Callithrix jacchus: one gene and its partner. The protein of the gene in region 1 interacts with the protein of each later gene in a biochemical or structural test. Links are inferred from orthologs where the notes say so. Each region holds a gene or a part of one and is shown on either strand. Other genes may lie near its edges.

Region 1 (9,247 bases):
AGGCTCATTCAATCGCCAAGCTGTAGAGCTATATTCCCAGGCTTCCTGCGGACCCCACACCACCCAACCGTCCGTCCTTCCTTCCATCTTTCCTTTCTTCTATCTTTCTCTCTCTCGCTCCCTCCTTCCTTTCTTTCTTTCTCTTTCTCTCTTGAGAGTCTCACTCTGTCGCGCAGGTTGGAGTGCAGTGGTTCTGCTGCCTCAGCCTCCTGAGTGGTTGGGATTACATTCGCACACCAGAACGCCCGGCTAATGTTTTTGTATTTTTAGTAGCAACTGGGTTTAACCATGTTGGCCAGGCTGGTCTCGAACTCCTGACCTCCAGTGATCCACCTGCCTTGGCCTCTGGGATTACAGGACTGACCACTATGCCAGCCCTCCCCCCGCCCCCCCCGCCTCCCCCCCCGCCCCCGACAGGGTCTCATTCTGTGGCCCAGGCTGGAGTGCAGTGGCTGTCAGGTCTCCATATGCAAGCCTGGAACCAGAACGTCTGAAGTCCTGCCTGCTGCCTGCCTCTGCTAATTGTCTCCCACCCCACCGCCTGCGTTGGCCATTGTCCCTAATCGCCCAGCAGAGCTTCCCCGGACAAGCCCCTCACCCCACCCTGCCATCTTAACTGTTCTTATGTTAAATGTGGATACCTCTCACCCCATCCTGCCATCTTAACTGCTCTTATGATAATGTGAATGCTCCTTGCCCCATCCTGCCATCTTAACTGCTCTTCCGCCTTACTCAACCCGCCATTGTAACTGAACTTGTGGTCATGTATACTCCTTGCCACTACCCCCGACCACTGTAACTGATCTTACTCTGCAACACCCTCGCCCCCCAAAATTACCCCAACTTATAGAACCAATTCCCACCCTTACTCTCTTCGCCTTTCTCAGATTCGGTCCGCTTGCACCCAAGCGAGAAATAAAATGTCCTTGTTGCCCACACAAAGCCTGTTTGGAAAATCTCTATATTAAATGCATTTAATTTTCGGTATTATTAGACGTGAATAACAGTGGCGATCCTGGCCCACGGCAACCTCTGCTGCCTGGGTTCAAGGGATTCTCCTGCCTCAGCCTCCGGAGTAGCTGGGACTACAGGCGCAGGCCACCACGCCGGACTAAATTTTTTTTTAAATTTTTTGGTGGAGACGGGGTTTTGCTGTGTTGCCCAGGCGGGTCTGGAACTCCTGAGCTCAGGTAATCCGCTCGCCTCAGCCTCCCAAAAGTGCCGGGATTACAGGGGTGAGCCACCGCGCCCCGGCCACCTGACCTTTTTCTAATTCGGCTTCATAGCAGTTTACAGAAGTCCCGCCCCCGATAAGGCAGGTCACGTGACACCGCCTCATCACGTGACGCGGACTCTGCGGCGGGAGGAGGGCGGTCCTCACGCTGCATTGCGTCATCACGTCGCGCGGCCGCGGGGTCCAGACCCGAAGGCTCCAGAGCCTCCGGAGCCTCCGGGTCTGGGCGGCGGCGGCGGCGCTTCGGCTCCTTGTGAGCCGCCTGCTGGCCCTGCGCCCCACCCTATCCCCACAGGCTGGGGACAGGCCCGGCGCGGCTGTGTGGGCACGGGAGCTGAGGTGAGTTGCGCGGAAGTGATGGCAGTCAGTCTTTCCCTTCCTGTCCATCAACTCCGGGTTATGGCCCTTCCCCCATCCTTGGTCTCCCTGCAAGGGAATCGGAGGCTCGCCCTGGATAGGAGGAAGGCTGCGTGGGGCGTCTGGCCTCGGTCGCCCTCTCATCTCTCCGCATACCTCCACCTGGCGGTGCTGGTCATATGTATGCCTGCTGGTGTCAGGGGGAAGGACTTCGTTTCTTTCTCTAGAATTTAGTCTTTCCCGAATGTATTGCCCCTCCCCTGCCTCGAATCTCCCGAAGTGGAATCCCTCTATTCAGATGTTAACGGAAGTTCTAGAAAATAGGTCACTTCAGAAAGGTGAGAGTGAAGGATATGCTGAGACTTGGAGTGGTGAGGCAGGAATCCCCAAGAAGGAAGACCACTTTGCACCAGGGTTACTGTCATTTTGATGTGGAAACGACAAACCCCCCTCCCTCCCAGATTGTCATCAAGGTAAATAGACATTTGTTTCGGACCCTTTTTACACCCCTGGAGTTGAAATTAAATTGACTTAAGGCTTCTTGAAAAACATCATATGCTTTGATGAATCACCTGCTTTTCTGTAAAATTGGTCTTGCAGAGTTGTTGGAGGGATTATCTATGGTGCTTGTAGTGTAAAATGCCAACTATAAACATAAGTAAATGAGAATTTAAGATCTCATTTTTCCTATTGAAAAATTGTGAGTTGTGGACTTTTAGAGACCGTCGTTTGATTCCCAACCTTGGATCATTTCAGAAAGTTTTGGATTCCAATATTGATTCGTTAACAGTAATTGACATTTACAGATGTAGAGTAGGAATACCTTCTTGTTGAAGAGCTTCAATAGCTTAAGCAAGTAAGTCCACTTGGGTGGTTTCCACAGTTCATTGTAGGTAATGGGTCCTCAATTGGTTTTTTGTTGTTGTTGTTGCTGTTTTTAATTTTTTATTTATTTATTTTTTTTCTGATGCATTCTCGCTCTGTTGCCCAGGCTGGAGTGCAGTGGCATGATCTAGGCTCACTCGATGGAGCAATTCTCAACTGCCTCCTGGGTTCAAGCAATTCTCGTGCCTCAGCCTTCCCAGTAGCTAGGATTACAGGCATGTGCCACCACACCCGGCTAATTTTTGTGTTTTTAGTAGAGACAGGGTTTCATCATGTTGGTCAGGCTGATCTCGAACTCCTGACCTCAACTGATATGCCCACCTCAGCTTCCTAAAGTCCTGGGATTACAGGCGTGAGCTACTGGGCTGGGCCTGAAGTTTCACTTTAAGAAGAAATCCAGATATATTTGGAAGTCATCAGACGTAATTATTTGCATACTTTAGAAAAGTACATTTTTACCGAACTTTCTTGCTCTAAGTTGAATACACACTTTTTTTTTTTGCATTCAATTCTAAGCATTTATTGTGCAACTTCTAGGATAGAAAGCATACATATAAAGCAGGATCTTCACCCTCTAAATGCTTATCTACTTATGGATATTAAATAGTAATGATATAATACCTTTAAGGAATTTTATATTTTATTTTATTATTATTTTTTTTGGGACAGAGTCGCATACTGTTGCCCAGGCTGTAGTGCAGTGGTGCAATCTTGGCTCACTGCAGTCTCTGCCTCCTGGGTTCAAGCAATTCTCCTGCCTTACAGGTGTGTGCCACCATGCCCAGCTAATTTTTTGGTATTTTTAGTAGAGATGGGGTTTCACCACATTGGCCAGGTTGGTCTTGATCTGACCTCGTGATGCGTCCGCCTCTGCCTCCCAAAGTGCTGGGATTACAGGCGTGAGCCACTGCACCCGGCCTATATTTTCATTGTATCATTTGACACAAGAACCTTGTGAAGATTTACAGGACATAGATTGTTTACTTACATTTCAGCGTTCATCATAATAAATGTCAAGTGGTAGGGACACTCCATGATAGAGGAATTCGGAGGAAGAAGAGAGAACTTTTACATGGACTAGATAGTAGCTAGATAGTGGTGGTTATGTCAGGTATAGGAGTGCCTTCTACTTGTATATGTTTGAGTCTGAGGAAGCCCCTTAGATTCTCAATTTGTAAAGCTAATAAATATGTTGTTTCCCTAGTTTTTTGAATATGCTCATTGTTTTTTTCTCTTGTAATTGCAGAATCCAAGGACCCCTTTTGTTTCTCTGCACCACTTTCTGGGTGACATTATGGCCCCCAAAGACATAATGACAAATACTCATGCTAAATCCATCCTGAATTCAATGAACTCCCTCAGGAAGAGCAATACCCTCTGTGATGTGACATTGAGAGTGGAGCATAAAGACTTCCCTGCCCATCGGATTGTGCTGGCTGCCTGTAGTGATTACTTCTGTGCCATGTTCACTAGTGAGGTAAGTGGTAAGTTAGCCCCACACAAATGAAACTCTCCCATTGAACTCTACTTGTCTAATTTCACTGAATAAAATGTGATATAATTGTGAATTTTTACAGTGTGATGTTTAAGTAGGCAGATTCTGGATAAGATCTACCACCTGACTATGCCTTAGTTTCCTCATCTTTAAATTAGGGGTAATAGTAATATGTAATAACACATGATTATTAAGGTTATTGTGAAGATTACCTTATAAAATAACTTACGAAGTGCTTAGAATGGTGTAATATGTAGTAAAGCACAAATGTCAGCTATTGTATTTTACTATTTCTTAAATTTGTCTTCCAATTTTTCTCCTTTTTTTGTTTCTAATTTTATTTATTTGTAAAGACAGGGTCTCACTATATATTGCCCAGGCTGATCTTGAACTCCTGGGCTCAAGTGTTCCTCCTGCCTTGGACTCCCAAAGTGGCCACACCTGACATTACAGGTGTAAGCCACTGCACCTGGCCTTTTCTCCTTCTAAAGTTTAAAAATTCTTAAGTGAATACCAGAGGGCTAAGAAGGAAGGAAGGAGAGAGGAGTAGGATTCAGATCTCACCCCATTCCTCCTAACAATATGTGAAGAAAAATCAGTGTAGATTTTAGGATAACTTCAAATGAAAGGAAGAAGAGTTTTTAATGAATAGCTGTACAGGTATAGAGTACATCACCTGAAAAAAGATGTTAGCTCATAAGCATTTAACCAAGGGAATTAGGAAAAAGGTGACGTGACAGAATACAGGTAGTGCTAACAAAGTATTAAGAAACACTGCTTAGTAATTGCCTGACAAAATACTTGAAATGTGGAGTAAGGCTATATTGTGTTCAGTGCTCCTAGAAAGCTGCACAGGAAGGAACATTGCAAGCCTTTGTTTTTCAAGATCCCAAGTCTGATTATAAGAGCAGATTTAAATGAATTACCTTGATTTTTTTTTTTTTCATAGCTCAGTCATGGGTGCACCACTGTTTATTATATTATCTACACCCATATGTATGCCTGAAATAGTTTATTACAAAAACACTTTTTTAAACATCTTTTTAAGCACAAGTATTTTTTTTTTTTTTTTTTTTTTTTTAGTTCTATCATCTTAGTGAAGATATTGCTACTGGATCAGGATGGGAGAGGCATATTCTATGATGGTAATAACTACCTTTTATGGGCCAGGTACTGTGCTAGTGATTGTTGTGCATATCTCACTCACCCTAGGGGTTGTTATTACCATCTCATTTTTACAAATGAAGGAACAGGGTTTCATATATTAAATCACTTGCCCAAACTCCCATGGATTATAAGTGCTCAAGGTAGAATTTAATTCTATATTTTCTGTCTTATAAAGTCCAAACTTTTTTTTTTTTTTTTAATTTTGGTTTTTAAGATGGAGTTTTGCTCTTGTTGCCCAGGCTGGAGTGCAATGGTGCAATCTTGACTTACCGCAACCTCCCTGTCTCAGGTTCAAGCAATTCTACTGTCTCAGCCTCCCTAGCAGCTGGGATTACAGGCATGTGCCGCCACATCTGGCTAATTTTGTATTTTTATTATAGATGGTTTCTCTATGTTGGTCAAGCTGGTCTTGAACTCCCAACCTCAGGTGATCCGACTGCTTTGGCCTCCCAAAGTGCTGGGATTATAGGTGTGAACCACCACACCTGGCCAAAGCCGGAATGGTTTTTAACTATTATGCTGCCTTAGTCTCTGAAGTATGAATTTTATATCCTACAGTCTACTTTTAAAACCAGTATAGTTAAAAATACTATGGGCTGATGCTCAGTCACATGGCTAGTAGGGAAAACAGGAACTGATAGGTCATTCCAGCTAATCCAGGCTAATTTTTAAATGAACTTGTGTGATAAAACAAGGTAGATCCCTGTCCTATACTGTTCTTCATGGGATATACCAAGAGCATCAGAAGCATTTGGAATTTACCTGGGTAAAGAGAGTGTCACCCAGCAGCTGCTGAGCATCAAATAAACTAGAACTGTTGACTGCTAATTATGTATTGTGTATCCTGTTTTTTGTCAGCTTGAAAATATTCTGTCTTTACTCTTAATTCAGAAATTAATTCTTTTTTTCTCATTTTTGATTTCTTTCTTTAAAAACTGACATCAGGCTGGCCGGGCGCTATGGCTCACGCCTGTAATCCCAGCTCTTAGGGAGGCAGAGGCGGGAGGGTAGCTTGAGCCCGGGAGTTCAAGACCTGCCTGGGCAATATAGCGAGACCCCGTTCTCTACAAAAAGGAAAAAAGACAAAAAGACAAAATAATAATAATAATAATAAAACTTGACATCAGGCAAAAAAATGCCAGATGGTTTTGTTTTTATTTTTCAGAGTAATTGGTTTAAAGGAGAGAGTCCAGAGACCTGGAATCTAGGCTTAGTTCTCTTAGCAATTCTGTATAAACCCTGTCAACCATCTAACTTCACTGGGTTGATCTGTAAAATAAAGTAGTTGAACTAGATGGTTTCCTTGTTCTCTTCAGCCATGAAATGCTCCTCAAATGTCATCTGATTGAAAGATCACAGGACTGAGGCAAGAGGACCTGGGTTTTATGTCTCTCTTTTTTTTTTCTGAAATACTTTGATAGCAATGATATCTGTCTCTCACTGGCTGAGTGACTCTGGTTAAGTCCTATATCTGCTTTGATTCTTAGATCCTTTATCTCTTAAGTAGTAATAATATCAGATCTAACTACCTTACCAGGTTGTTGGGAGAATCAGATGAAATAGTAGAAAATGAGAAGCACTGAAAAATTCTAAAGCAAAATATAAATGTGAAATGTACTATTGCTCTAATCAATATTTAAACTATTTGATGGAAATATAGGTTATTGAGTGAGAAATTTCAATTTCTGGAATACGTGTACTTACATATTTCAGTATCATAATTTTTTTTTTTAAATTTTTTATTGGATTTTAGGTTTTGGGAGTATCATAATTGAATGTATTTAATGTGTTGGGACAGTAATTGTTTATAAATATTAGTACTGTATTAAGTGTTAATAAAACCTAATATGTTTTTTCAAAATAATGTGCTCTTGACTTTTTTTACTGTTAGGGATTGATTTTGTTCTTGGCTTTGTAGAGAGTGCTTTTTGGTTATTCTCTGGCTGACGGAGAAATCAAACATGATAAAGCAATTTAGTTCATAATGGAGGTACACCAGATTTTTGTTAGTAAAATAAATTTCTAAACTAAGATTCAGTAAAAATTTTTATAAGGTATTTTTAGATAATTTACTCTCCTTTAAAGTTGAAGATTTCTTCTCTTAGCTCAACAGTTTTCTATGATTATCTGGCCTCATCAATACTCAACAGCTTCAAGGAGATATACTACTAACAATTCAGTTAGTCTAACAATATTTTGAAAAAGTAACAAACACTTTATTTGTATTCAGATGGTGTTACATAAGAAAGTCCCTTAGGATGACCTGCATATTCTTTTTCATCATTACTAAATGTAGTCTGAGGGCCAGGCATGGTGGCTCCCTCCTGTATTCCCAGCACCTTGGTAAGCAGAGGTGGGTGGATCACCTGAGGTCAGAAGTTCAAGATCAGCTTGGTCTACATGGCGAAGCCTTGTCTCTACTAAAAATACAAAAATTATCTGGGCACGGGGGCTCACGCCTATAATCCCAGCACTTCGGGAGGCTGAGGTGGGCCAGTCACTTGAGGTCAGGAGTTTTGAGACCAGCCTGGCAACATAGTGAAACTCTGCCTCTACTAAAAATATAAAAATTAGCTGGGAGTGGTGGCACATCCTTGTAGTCCCAGCTACTCAGGAGACTGAGGAAAGAGAATTGCTTGAACCTGGGAGGCAGAACTTGAAGTGAGCCAAGATCGTGCCACTGCACTCCAGCCTGGGCAACAGAATGAGACTCCATCTCAAAAAAAAAACAAAACAGAAATTAGCTGGGTGTGGTGGTGTACTCTTGTAATCCTAGCTACTTGGGAGGCTGAGGCAGGAGAATAACTTGAACCTGGGAAGAAGTACAGTTTGCCGAGATCGCATCAGTGCACTCTAGCCTGGGCAACAGAGCGAGACCCTATCTCCAGAAAAAAAAAAAAATGTAGTCCAGGGACAGATGATAGGAACTAGGTAATCCTGGAGAGACTGGAGTTATAACCCACAGGTCCTCTACAAATGTGAAATTTTTTTGAAATTCTGTGTCTTAGCTGGGCGCAGTGGCTCATGCCTTTGGGAGCACTTTGGGAGGCTGAGGTGGGCGGATCACCTGAGGTCGGGAGTTCAAGATCAGCCTGACCAACATAAAGAAACCCTGTCTCTACAGAATTAGCAGGGCATGGTGGTGCATGCGTCTAATCCTAGCTACTTCGGCACCTGAGGCAGGAGAATGGCTTGAACCCGGGAGGTGGAGGTTGTGGTAAGCCAAGATGTGTCATTGTACTCCAACCTGGGCAACAAGAGTGAAACTCTGTCTCAAAGACAAAGAAAAGAAATTTTGTGTTTTATCTTAAAAGTTGATGGACTAGTGTTATATTCATGGAAGTTTTGCATTCTATTCTGTGATACTTTTTTTTTTGGTATTTTTAGTAGAGATGGGGTTTCACTATATTGGCCAGACTAGTCTTGAACTTCAGACCTTGTGATCCGCCATCTTGGCCTCCCAAAGTGCTAGGATTACAGGTGTGAGCCACCATGCCTGGCCTATGTCTGTATTTTAATATGAAATTGATTTTTAAAGTTATTCACTGGCAACATTGCTATTCTAGGAAGGTGTCACATATTATTTACTCCGAGGGTATAGATAACTGCCCATTTCATTTGGAAAGCTACAGACATGTGACATATTTGCTTTATTCAAATCCAACAAAACAGGTCATAATTTTTATTTTTATTTATTTATTTATTTATTTTTTTGAGACGGAGTTTCGCTCTTGTTACCCAGGCTGGAGTGCAATGGCACGATCTCGGCTCACCGCAACCTCTGCCTCCTGGGTTCAGGCAATTCTCCTGCCTCAGCCTCCCGAGCAGCTGGGATTACAGGCGTGCGCCCCCATGCCCAGCTAATTTTCTGTATTTTTCGTAGAGACTGGGTTTCACCAGGTTGACCAGGATGGTCTCGATCTCTTGACCTCGTGATCCACCCGCCTCGGCCTCCCAAAGTGCTGGGATTACAGGCTTGAGCCACCGCGCCTGGCCTATTTTTTTAATTTTTAAATTTTTTTGAAAGAATCTCACTGGTGCCCAGGCTGGAGTGCAGTGGCACAATCTGGGCTTACTGCAACCTCCACCTCCCAGGTTGAAGCAAGCAA
Region 2 (9,955 bases), on another chromosome or scaffold:
TTCCCGGGTTCAAAGCGTTCTCCTGCCTCAGCCTCCCAAATAGCTGGGATTACAGGTGCCTGCCACCACGCCTGACTAATTTTTGTATTTTTAGTAGAGATGGAGTTTCACCATGTTGGCCAGGCTGGTCTTGAACTCCTGACCTCAGGTGATCCGCACACCTCAGCCTCCTAGAGCGCTGGGATTGCAGGGTGAGCACCACGCCGGCCTCTTGCTTGCCTTTTGATCCAACCAAGAGATTCAAACCAAGAGAGTGGGAAGGCAGGATTGGAGCAGAGGCCACTAGTGCAGGTGCACGGGGCTGGGGAGGGCATTCTCTCAGCACCCCTGTGAGCTCACACGTGGCTGCAGCCGCTAGGGTTGGGGGCCTGGGGTCCACCTCGGGGACCCTGCCCAGGTCCCACTTAAAGGCCCTGCTCCACCCCCTGACCTTGCTGACGTGGATGTGTCCTCCCTTCCAGGACTGGAAAGATCACCAGCACATGTGTGGCCAGTCAGCAGCTGTCACGGTGCAGGCAGACGAAGTCCACGTGGCTGAGAGCGTGATGGAGAAGGTGACCGTGTGAGGCTCCCCCAGCCGCCCTGTGAGCTGGACGCCCTTGCACTCCTGCGAGGCTTTTGCAGGTGGAAGTCCCCGCAAGGACTCTCGGGGGGCGTTGAGAAGAGGGTGTGGGAAGGTGAGGAAACTTGCTGGACAAGTTATTAAGAAACTTTACGTAATGGTGCCCTGGGGAGCGGACTCCCCCCGCCTGGGCCCCTGCCCGCTCCAGGAGAGACTTTTAGCCCCAGGATCATGAGCGTCCGGTCTTGCCCACGGGCGTGTGCTGTGACGCATGTACATACGTGTGTGTCTGTCAATAAAGTGTAAATAAGGCCTCCCTTCCCACGCGGCCAGTTTCAGTGCCAGCCCTCTGGGATGGCTCCTTCCTCCTGCCCACGCAGGTGGGCAGCCTGAGTCCACCACACCTCCAGTGCATGGGGAAGTGTGACCGGCCAAAGTGTGGTGCCCAGTGGCTGGCACGTGTAGTCCAGGAGAGTCTTCATTCCTTCTGTTCCACAAGAGCCTCGCAGCTGCTGGGAGCGTCACGCCAGGCTTCGGGGCACATGGTGCCCTCCTGTGCCCAGGCTGACTGAGTGAGCCCAAGGACCCAGCGTAGCCTGTTTAGCACATGTGGACACCTCAGTGGCCTCAGTCAGGCCTCCACACGCACAGCCTCATCACGTGGACAGCGCGGTGGCCTCGGTCCGGCCTCCACACGCACAGCCTCATGTCCTCCTGGTCTCCTTGTTTCTCATGGCCCTGGTACCAGGTGGAGGAGAGAGAAGGGGCTGAAGGCTGCGGGGGGCACCAGGTGCATCCTGCATGTTTAGCTGCTGGGCTGGGCCTGGACATGGGACCCACCTGCCCTGCTGGAGCAGCATTACTCTTGTTCTGGAAACCTCTTCCCTCGTGGCCTGTGTTCCCTGCACGCAGAAGGCTCCACAGCTGTCGCTGCCCTGAGGCAGGAAAGTGCAGATCCAGCAACAGCTCAGCGGGCACCGGGGTGGGTCAGCAGCGCCGGGAGGCACCTGCGCCAGCGGTTCTGATGCTGTCTTCTGAAGCGCTTTCTGCCCCAGCTGGGCATGAGCACCCTGGAAGGTGCTGTGCTCGGGGAGAGGCTCACCGGCTATGGGCTCCACAGAGGCCCCGTCTTTTGAGTCTGTGGGTGTCTTGGGACCGAGTGGTTTATTCTGATTTTTTTTTCTTTTTTTTTTTTCGAGACTGAGTCTCACTCTGTCACCCAGGCTGGAGTGCAGTGGCGCAATCTCAGCTCACTGCAGCTTCAACCTCCCAGCCTCAAGGGATCCTTCCGCCTCAGCCTCCCGAGTAGCTGGGATTACAGGTGTGACCACCGCCTGCAGCCTGCACGGACTGTTTAGCAAGCTGAGGGAGTGCCTCACGCTGTAGACTGCACAGCCTGGAGTCTCTGTTCCCATGGGAGCTCAGCACCCCGGCCAGCTGCCCTGGCTCAGAAGCCGCATCCCCAGCACAGGAAAGGTCCAGCCAGCAGGACTGGGAGGCGAAGGGCCCCCCCTTTTCTCCCATAGCCTGGGTCTGGGAGAGAGCTGGATCCAGTCCAGGGTGGGCTGTTCCTGCATGGAGGCCCCTGGGAGCCACCCCGCCTCTCCCAGGGTCGGGGGCTGCGCTATGGTTGAGGGAGCCAGGCAGCCCAATGCAGACAGGAAGCTTGGGTGGCTCTGTCTACCCCTGGCTCTGCTCTGCCCATCCCAGCCCCGCTCTGCCCATTCCCTCCCCACTCTGCCCATTCCTTCCCCCACTCTGCCCATTCCCTCCCCACTGCCCACCCTCGCCCTGCTGAATCCTCCCTGCTCCCACCCCTTGGCCCCCCCACATGTATGGACGCTGGGCAGCGGTTGGCTGGGCACCAGGGTGACTGAGCATGGAGCCCCCTCCAGGGAAGCTCCTTGGTGGGCCCCACCCAGCACCACAGGCCCCTTCCTGTGGGGCTTGGGGCATCCTCGCCCAGGGACTGGCAGGAAGCTGTGCCCCAGCCTCAAGGCAGCTTCTAAAATGATGGGTTGAGCACCCCTGTGGGGTTCTGTGGGACAGAGTCTGGAGCCTCCTGTGCCTGGTCTGCTAAGGCGGGAGTTGGTCTGGGCAGGACCTGGTGGCTGATTTCTTCCCATTGGGACTGGGCTGCCCAGGAGACACCTTGCCTTCCTGAATGCTATTTCCTCTCCCCTCCCTCCTCTCCCTTGCATAGAGGGGGAGGCTGGGCCAGGGCGCTGCAAACTGAGTGGGCCTGATAGTGGGGTGTCTGTGGGCCTCCTCGGCGGGAAGGAAGGGGTTAACTGGCTGGGGGGTCTGGGGCAACTGAGGCAGAAGCCCCTCCTCCCTTTTCCCCACAACCCCCAGGAACCTTCACAGCTGAGTTTGGGAAGGAATTTGTTTAATTAACGTACAAAGCCGCCCTCCCATCTCCTTGGTCCCTGGGGCGCGGCGCCCAGCCTGCGGGGCGGTGCCCGGCTCAGCAGCAGGCACGCAGGGCCTTGCGGAAGACGTTGCGGAACTCGGCGTTGAAGACCGTGTAGATGACGGGGTTCAGGGCGCTGTTGACGTAGCCCAGCCAAGTGACGGCGCTGACCAGCCGTGGGGGCACGGAGCAGGCGGGACACAGCGCCTGCGTGATGTGCACCACGAAGAAGGGCGTCCAGCACAGCAGGAAGGCCCCTGGGGGCGCCGAGAGCCGCGTCAGCGCCCCCCCGCCCTCTGTGCCCTGTACTCCTCTCCTTTCCCCCCGCCGTCCCCCAAAATGGGAACCCACCGACCACCACCGGCAGGACCCTCATGGCCTTGCGCTCCCGGCCGGTGATCTTGGCACGCCTCCTCCTGCGGGTCTGCGGCGGGGTCTGGGGTGGGAGCTCAGTGGCCTGGACGTTGTCGTAGGGCGCACAGATGGGGCCACGCGGGTTCTGGCGGAGGCCGGGGGCGGGGGGCGCGCAGTCCGGGCCGCAGGGGCCCTGGTGGAGGCCGGGCGCGGGGGGCGCGCAGTCGGGGCCGCAGGGGTCCTCGGGGAGGCCGGTCGCCGGGTAAGGCGGGCGGGGGCAGCTGGGCCGGCGTGGCGCGCGGCGGTGCAGCTTGGCGCGACGGGTCACCTCCCAGCGCCGCAGGCCGCGGAACGTGGCCCAGTAGAGCAGCAGCATGAGCGGGCAGGGCAGGAAGAAGGAGCACACAGACGAGTAGACCACGTAGTCGCGGTCCTCCAGGCGGCACACGGCGGGGTCGCGGCCGCGCACGTCATTGAGGCCGCACAGCACCGGCGCCGCCACCGCCGCGGACAGCAGCCACGTGGCGCCGATGAGCAGCAGCTGCCGGCGGCTCCCACCCTGGCGGTTGTAGCTCAGCGGCACGGCCACGGCCACGAACCTGTGGGGAGCGCCGAGGGGGCGCGGGACAGCGCGAAGGCCGCGGTGAGGGCGGCGGCGACGGCGGGAGGGGTGCGGGGGCGCGGGCGGGGAGGGCGGCGCACCTGTCCACGCTGATGGCGCACAGGTTGAAGATGGAAGCGGTGCACAGCATGACGTCCATGGCCATGAGAGCGTCGCACAGGCGAGGGCTCAGCAGCCACGCGCCGCCCTGCACCTGCACGGGACACCGAGGGCGCAGCAACACGAGACCTGAGGTTTCTCGCGCTGCGCGGCCAGGGACCCTCACAGCCACTGCCGGGCCCGAAACACCACCTCCCCCACTCACGTCGCCCTTTTTTTTTTTTTTTTTTTTCCAGTGGGGGTTTCTTTCTGTCGCCCAGGCTGGAGTGCAGTGACTCACTGTAGCCTGGAACTCTGGGATCAAGTGATCTTCCCACTTCAGTATCCAGAGTAGCTGGAACTACAGGTGTGCACCACCACCCCCAACTCATTTTTGTACTTTTAGGAGAGACGCGGTTTCACCATGTTGGCCAGGCTACTCTCGAACTCCTGACCTCCTGATCCACCTCCTTTGCCACCCAAAGTGCTGGGATTACGGGCATGAGCCGCCGCGCCCTGCCTGTTTAACTTTTTGTACAGACGGGGTCTGGTATGTTTCCCGGGCTGGTCTCAAACTCCTGGGCTCCAGTGATCCTCCTGCCTTGGCCTCCAAAGTGCTGGGATTACAGGCGTGAGTCACTCTCCTGGACTTGGTCTCCCTCTTGTTACAAACATGAGAAAGGCCTGGGGGCGGGGCCTGATGTCATGGGGCTCAAGGAGAGCCCTCTGCCCAGCCTGGGGTAGGCAGAGTCCCCGCTGGGCCTGCAACGTGAAGCTGGCTGCTGACCAGCCTCAGACCAGCCTCAGACCGCCAGCCAGACTGTCTGGTGAGGCTCAGTGCGGGAGGTTCGGGTGGTTACTTCGTTTCTGCTTCCTCGTCTGTAACAAGGGTGATGGCAGTATCCACATGACGATTGTCTTAAAGATAAATTAGTTTTAAAAAATGTGTCGACCTCGCCCAATGCCCAGCGTGGTACTCCACACGGAGTTACTCTCCAAGGGCAAAGGGGCAGGTAGTCCCCCTAATCCCTTCCCGCCGATTTGGGAAGATTATAAGCTTAAGCGTCGTCACTGTGACGTCTGTGGCTCGAAAGGAGCACAGGTCATGCGTGTCTGGCGCTGCTGGTCCCTGCCCCAGCCGCCAGGACTCACCGTGGCCACCGAGGGGAAACCCCAGTCCCCCTCCCCCATAGTCCAGGACACCGCGTCCCCAGCTCAGCCCTAAGCTGCTTTTCTCTGGCAGCAGAGGGGCTGGCACCGAGGCCGACCCACTCCAGGGCCAGACCTGGTGTGGGGTGTGGGCTCCATCCCCCAATTCTCTCTCATCCCCCAGGGTTCTCAGCAGGGTCCTGGCCCCCACACACCCTCCCCTCCCCTGGATTCTGTCCAGCCCAGGCCTCCCCTGCTCCCCTGCAAGCTGAGCCTCCTTGTGGGGGTGTGCAAGTGTCTGCACTGGGTGTGCGTGGTGGGCAGTGGCTGTGGCCGAGTGCAGTGTGTTTGCAGGTGTGTGTGTGCGCGGTGTGTGTTGTGTCCATGTCCCAGGGCATCCAGGGGGCTGAGCCTGTCTGTCCAGCTGGTTTCCCTGGGGGTGAAATCCAGCTATGGAGGGGGCTGGGCTTGACAAAGTCGTCTGTTTCTGGGGTCCCTGGATCCAAGGACGGGGCATGTCCTGGGTAGCAGACACCAACACAGAGGGGGAAGGGAGGAGTGGAACGAGGGTCCGGGACGGACAGCGCAGCGGGTGGGAGGGCCCGAGGGGGCGGTGGTGGGAACAGGCGGAGCGCAGCTGCCGCCGCCCGGGCTGGAAGCTCCAGAGCAGAAAGGGGCCGGGTCGCGCCGGGTCCTCCGCGGGGACAGGGACCGGGAACAAGGGATCGGGCGCGGACGCGGCTCACCTCAGAGTAGACGAACAGCGGCAGCACCAGGAGCGCGAGCAGGAGGTCGGCGGCCGCCAGGCTCACGATGAAGGAGTTGGTGGGCGTCTGCAGGGCGCGCTCGGTGGCCACGCTCACGCACACGAGCGAGTTCCCCGCGAGCACCGCGCCGATGAGCAGCACGCCCCCCACCAGCGCCGCCGCACCCGGCCCCGCCAGCCCCGCTCCCGGCCCGCGCCCCGCCAGCAGCCCGCCCGCGTCCGCGGCGCTGCGGTTCCCCATGGCGTGCGGGCCTCACGCGCCCCGCGGGCGCTGAGCGCCACGGACAGCGCCGGGCACCCAGCCCGGGAGTCCCTCCCCTCGGGCACGCCCCGCCAGGCCCTGGTCCCGCCCCCGACCCAGCTCCTGGGGGCGCGGGGGGAAGTGGGGGGTCCCTGCGGCGCTCCACCGTGCGCCCGCGCCCAGTATCTGCTCATCGTGGAATTATGCGCAGGGAAAGACGGGCAGGTGGACGAATGCGACGGCCCAAAGGGACGGGAATTAAGCGAGGTGGTTGTCCCGCGGGGTCGGCGGGGACGCGCGGGTCTGCACCCCGATAACCCGACAGGGATGGAGAGGCGGCCAGACCCGGCCCCTAAATGCGGGCATCGACCCAGCGCCGACCCGCGCACCCCGCCCAGTTCACTTGGCTTCTGGGAAAACGTCCTTCCCGGGCCGGGCCGGTCTCGCCAGACGCTGGAAGACCCAAGCTCCGCCTGCCCCGCGGACTCGCTCTGGCCTTGCGCGCACCCTCCACGCCCGCTCCCGCCTCGGACACGGCGCCAGACCCAGCCGCCGACGCCGCGCCCCGCCCGCAGCAGCCTCTGGTCCTCGCCCGGCGACCACCACCCTCGGCCGCGGCTCCTCTGGCCGTGACCCCGAGCCAGGTAGGCGCCCCTGGGACCCTGGGCAGGGGTCCCGGCCCCACCGACCGTAGGTTCAGTCCTCGAGGAGGCAGCTGGAAGGAGAAGCCGGCCCTGGCGGGTTCCAAACGTTCGGAAGAGAAAGTGCTTGCAAAGCGCAGAGAGAGGTTTGTGGACTTCATAAAATCGGGGTGACACCTGAACTGAGCGGTGTTTTCTGCAGCCTTCCACTAAAGGGGGTTAGAGGCACTACAGGCGGCACCACTGTGCGGGACTCCGGGCCATGCACGTCCCAACCCTCGTGTCTTTGTTTCTGGGAGCAGCAGTGCCAGGAATTGAGGATCCTGACCTCAAAGGTATGGGGGACATAGGCCAGGTGGAGGCACTGACGGGAGAAGTGAGGACGCTGAGAAGCAGGCACTGGAGAGTCACAGGCAAGGTCTTGGGGTCTGTAGGGGAACGGGCTGCTCCAGGCAGGTGTGGGCAGGCATCTAGCTATGGTGCAGACAGCCAAGCTGGCCCCCAAGATGTCTGCCACCATCAAGACAGTGAAAAGAAAGCTAGGCGGGAAAGGGGGTTGTAGCACCCATCTCTGGTACAGCAGATGCAGCATACAGAGATCGCTTTTGAAACAATGACAAACTGGCCGGGCACGGTGGCTCACGCCTGTAATCCCAGCACTTTGGGAGGCCGAGGCGGGTGAATCAGAGGTCGAGAGATCGAGACCTTCCTGCTCAACATGGTGAAACCCCGTCTCTACTAAAAATACAAAAAATTAGCTGGGCACGGTGGCGCGTGCCTGTAGTCCCAGCTACTCAGGAGGCTGAGGCAGGAGAATTGCCTGAACCCAGGAGGCGGAGGTTGCAGTGAGCCGAGATCGCGCCATTGCACTCCAGCCTGGGCAACAAGAGCGAAACTCTGTCTCAAAAAAAAAAAAAAAAAATATATATATATACACACACACACACACACACACACACACACACACACAGACACACACAAATGACCAAGAAGTGCTTGAAAAGATCCTCGTCGCCCTTAGTCACTGGGGAAATGCAAATCAAAACTACAATAAGATGCCATTGCCTACCCATTAGAATGGCGATAATATAAAATAAATAGAAATAAATGTACGGAGGGGAAAGCTCACTGCCGGCGCCGTGCGAAGTGCTGTGCTCGCTGCGGGGGAAAGCTGAGCAGTTCCGCATCAAGGTACACACACAGTTTCATGCGACTCAGCGGGCATGTGTTACAGACCAAAAACAAGTGAAAACAGGTGTTCAAACAAAGGCTTGTCTGTAAATGTTCACAGCAGCACTATCCACGATATGCAAAAGGGGCGGGGCACCGCGGCTCAGGCCTGTAATCCCAGCTCTTTGGGAGGCCAAGGTGAGTGGATTGCTTGAGGCCAAGAGTTCGAGACCAGCCTGGCCAACATAGCGAAACCCCCTCTCCGCTGACGATACAAAAATAAATGGCCAGGCACAGCGGCTCACACCTGTGATCCCAGCACTTTGAGAGGCTGAGGTGGGTGGATCACCTGAGGTCAGGAATTTGAGACCAGCCTGGGCAACGTGGTGAAACCCCATCTCTACTAAAAATACGAACATTAACCAGGCATGGTGGCCGGTGCCTGTAATCCCAGCCACTAGGGAGGCTGAGGCTGGAGAATCGCTTGAACCTGGGAGGCGGAGGCTGCGGTGAGCCGAGATCTAGTCAGCGCACTCCAGCCTGGGGGATGCGGTGGGTGGCGCACACCCGTAAACCCCGTTACTCAGAAGTTTTCCATCTGGGGAGTAGAAAGTTCTGGAAGGAAACAGCAGTGGTGGCTGTACGACTTCGTGACTGTGCGGAGTATCGGTTTATACTTCAAAATGGCTAAAATGCTAAGTTTCACGTTGTGCGTATTTTCTCACGATAAAAATAAACTCAGCTGTAGAGAACAATTTAAAAATGGGCAAGAGACGTGAAGCCACATTTAACCCACAACAAGCTGCCAATGGACATAAGCGCCTGGAAAGAGGTTGTGTCCCAGCCATTGGGGAAATGCAACCGAGACCACAGCAAGGAGCAGCCTCGCAGCCAGAACCGCGGAAGCTAAACATAGCGGCTGCAGCGACTTCGAGTGACAGTGTGCGGAGAAAGTGAGGCCAGGGCGGGCGGATCACCTGAGGTCAGGAGTCTCAGACCAGCCTGGCCAACAGGGTGAAATACCGTCTCTGCTAAAAATACAAAAATTAGCCGGGCACGACGGTGCACGCATGTAATCCCAGCTACCTGGGGGACCAAGGTGTGACAATTGCTTGAACCCGGGAGGCAGAGGTTGCAGGGAGCCGAGATGGCCCCACTGCACTCCAGCCTGGGCAACAGAGCGAGGCTGTCTCAAAAAAAAAAAAAAAAAGGCCAGGCGCAGTGGCTCAAGCCTGTAATCCCCGCACTTTGGGAGGCCGAGGCGGGTGGATCACGAGGTCAAGAGATCGAGACCATCCTGGTCAACATGGTGAAACCCCGTCTCTACTAAAAATACAAAAAATTAGCTGGGCATGGTGGCGCGTGCCTGTAATCCCAGCTACTCAGGAGGCTGAGGCAGGAGAATTGCCTGAACCCAGGAGGCGGAGGTTGCGGTGAGCCGAGATCGCGCCATTGCACTCCAGCCTGGGAAACAAGAGCGAAACTCCGTCTCAAAAATAAATAAATAAATAAATAAAAATAAAAGAAAAAAGAAAAAGCACTCGAGTCTCGTGGAAAATCAAAGGGCCTGACGGCGTTTCCCTTCCACTCAGTCCACGGTGTATAAATGGGTCACAGACGCTGGACAAGATGCTCCACAGCGCGGGTCATTAGGGAGATGAACTCAAGCGCGCAGTGGCACCCACGGATCGCGACGGCAGCAAAACCCAGAAAACGACGAGCCCCGCCCTTGCTGCACGGCTGGGAGGTGCCGTCTGCGGAGCTGCCGCGGGAAACGTGGGGTGAGTGTTGAACACGGAATTACCGTCACCAGCAAATCCTCGTAACTGTACACGCAGAGCGCCGGAAAACGGGACCTGCGGGGCGTGTCCGTGTCCGTGGCAGCGCTAAGCCGCCGCCCAGAGTGTCCATGGAGAGACCCACGGATGAAGGACGTGGACCCGCCACACGGCGGGACGC

The links. The genes of interacting proteins can lie anywhere in the genome.
Region 2: of the proteins of KLHL12 (region 1) and DRD4, one has a biochemical effect on the other in vitro, tested with the Homo sapiens proteins (2 studies listed by BioGRID, with this or other methods). The link is inferred for Callithrix jacchus from reciprocal best matches to the Homo sapiens genes KLHL12 and DRD4.

The regions. Positions count from the first base shown.
Region 1 is NC_133520.1:29,962,050-29,971,296, reverse strand, and holds part of KLHL12 (kelch-like protein 12), read left to right. Parts: intron 1-1,384; exon of another isoform or gene 1,385-1,944; coding exon of another isoform or gene 1,945-2,064; intron 2,065-3,722; coding exon 3,723-3,953; intron 3,954-9,247. UniProt on the Homo sapiens protein: Substrate-specific adapter of a BCR (BTB-CUL3-RBX1) E3 ubiquitin ligase complex that acts as a negative regulator of Wnt signaling pathway and ER-Golgi transport.
Region 2 is NC_133511.1:131,255,717-131,265,671, forward strand, and holds DRD4 (D(4) dopamine receptor), read right to left. Parts: upstream 6,227-9,955; 5' UTR 6,186-6,226; coding exon 5,925-6,185; intron 4,145-5,924; coding exon 4,032-4,144; intron 3,929-4,031; coding exon 2,956-3,928; 3' UTR 2,935-2,955; downstream 1-2,934. Other genes in the region: DEAF1 (deformed epidermal autoregulatory factor 1 homolog), read left to right, coding at 462-566. UniProt on the Homo sapiens protein: Dopamine receptor responsible for neuronal signaling in the mesolimbic system of the brain, an area of the brain that regulates emotion and complex behavior.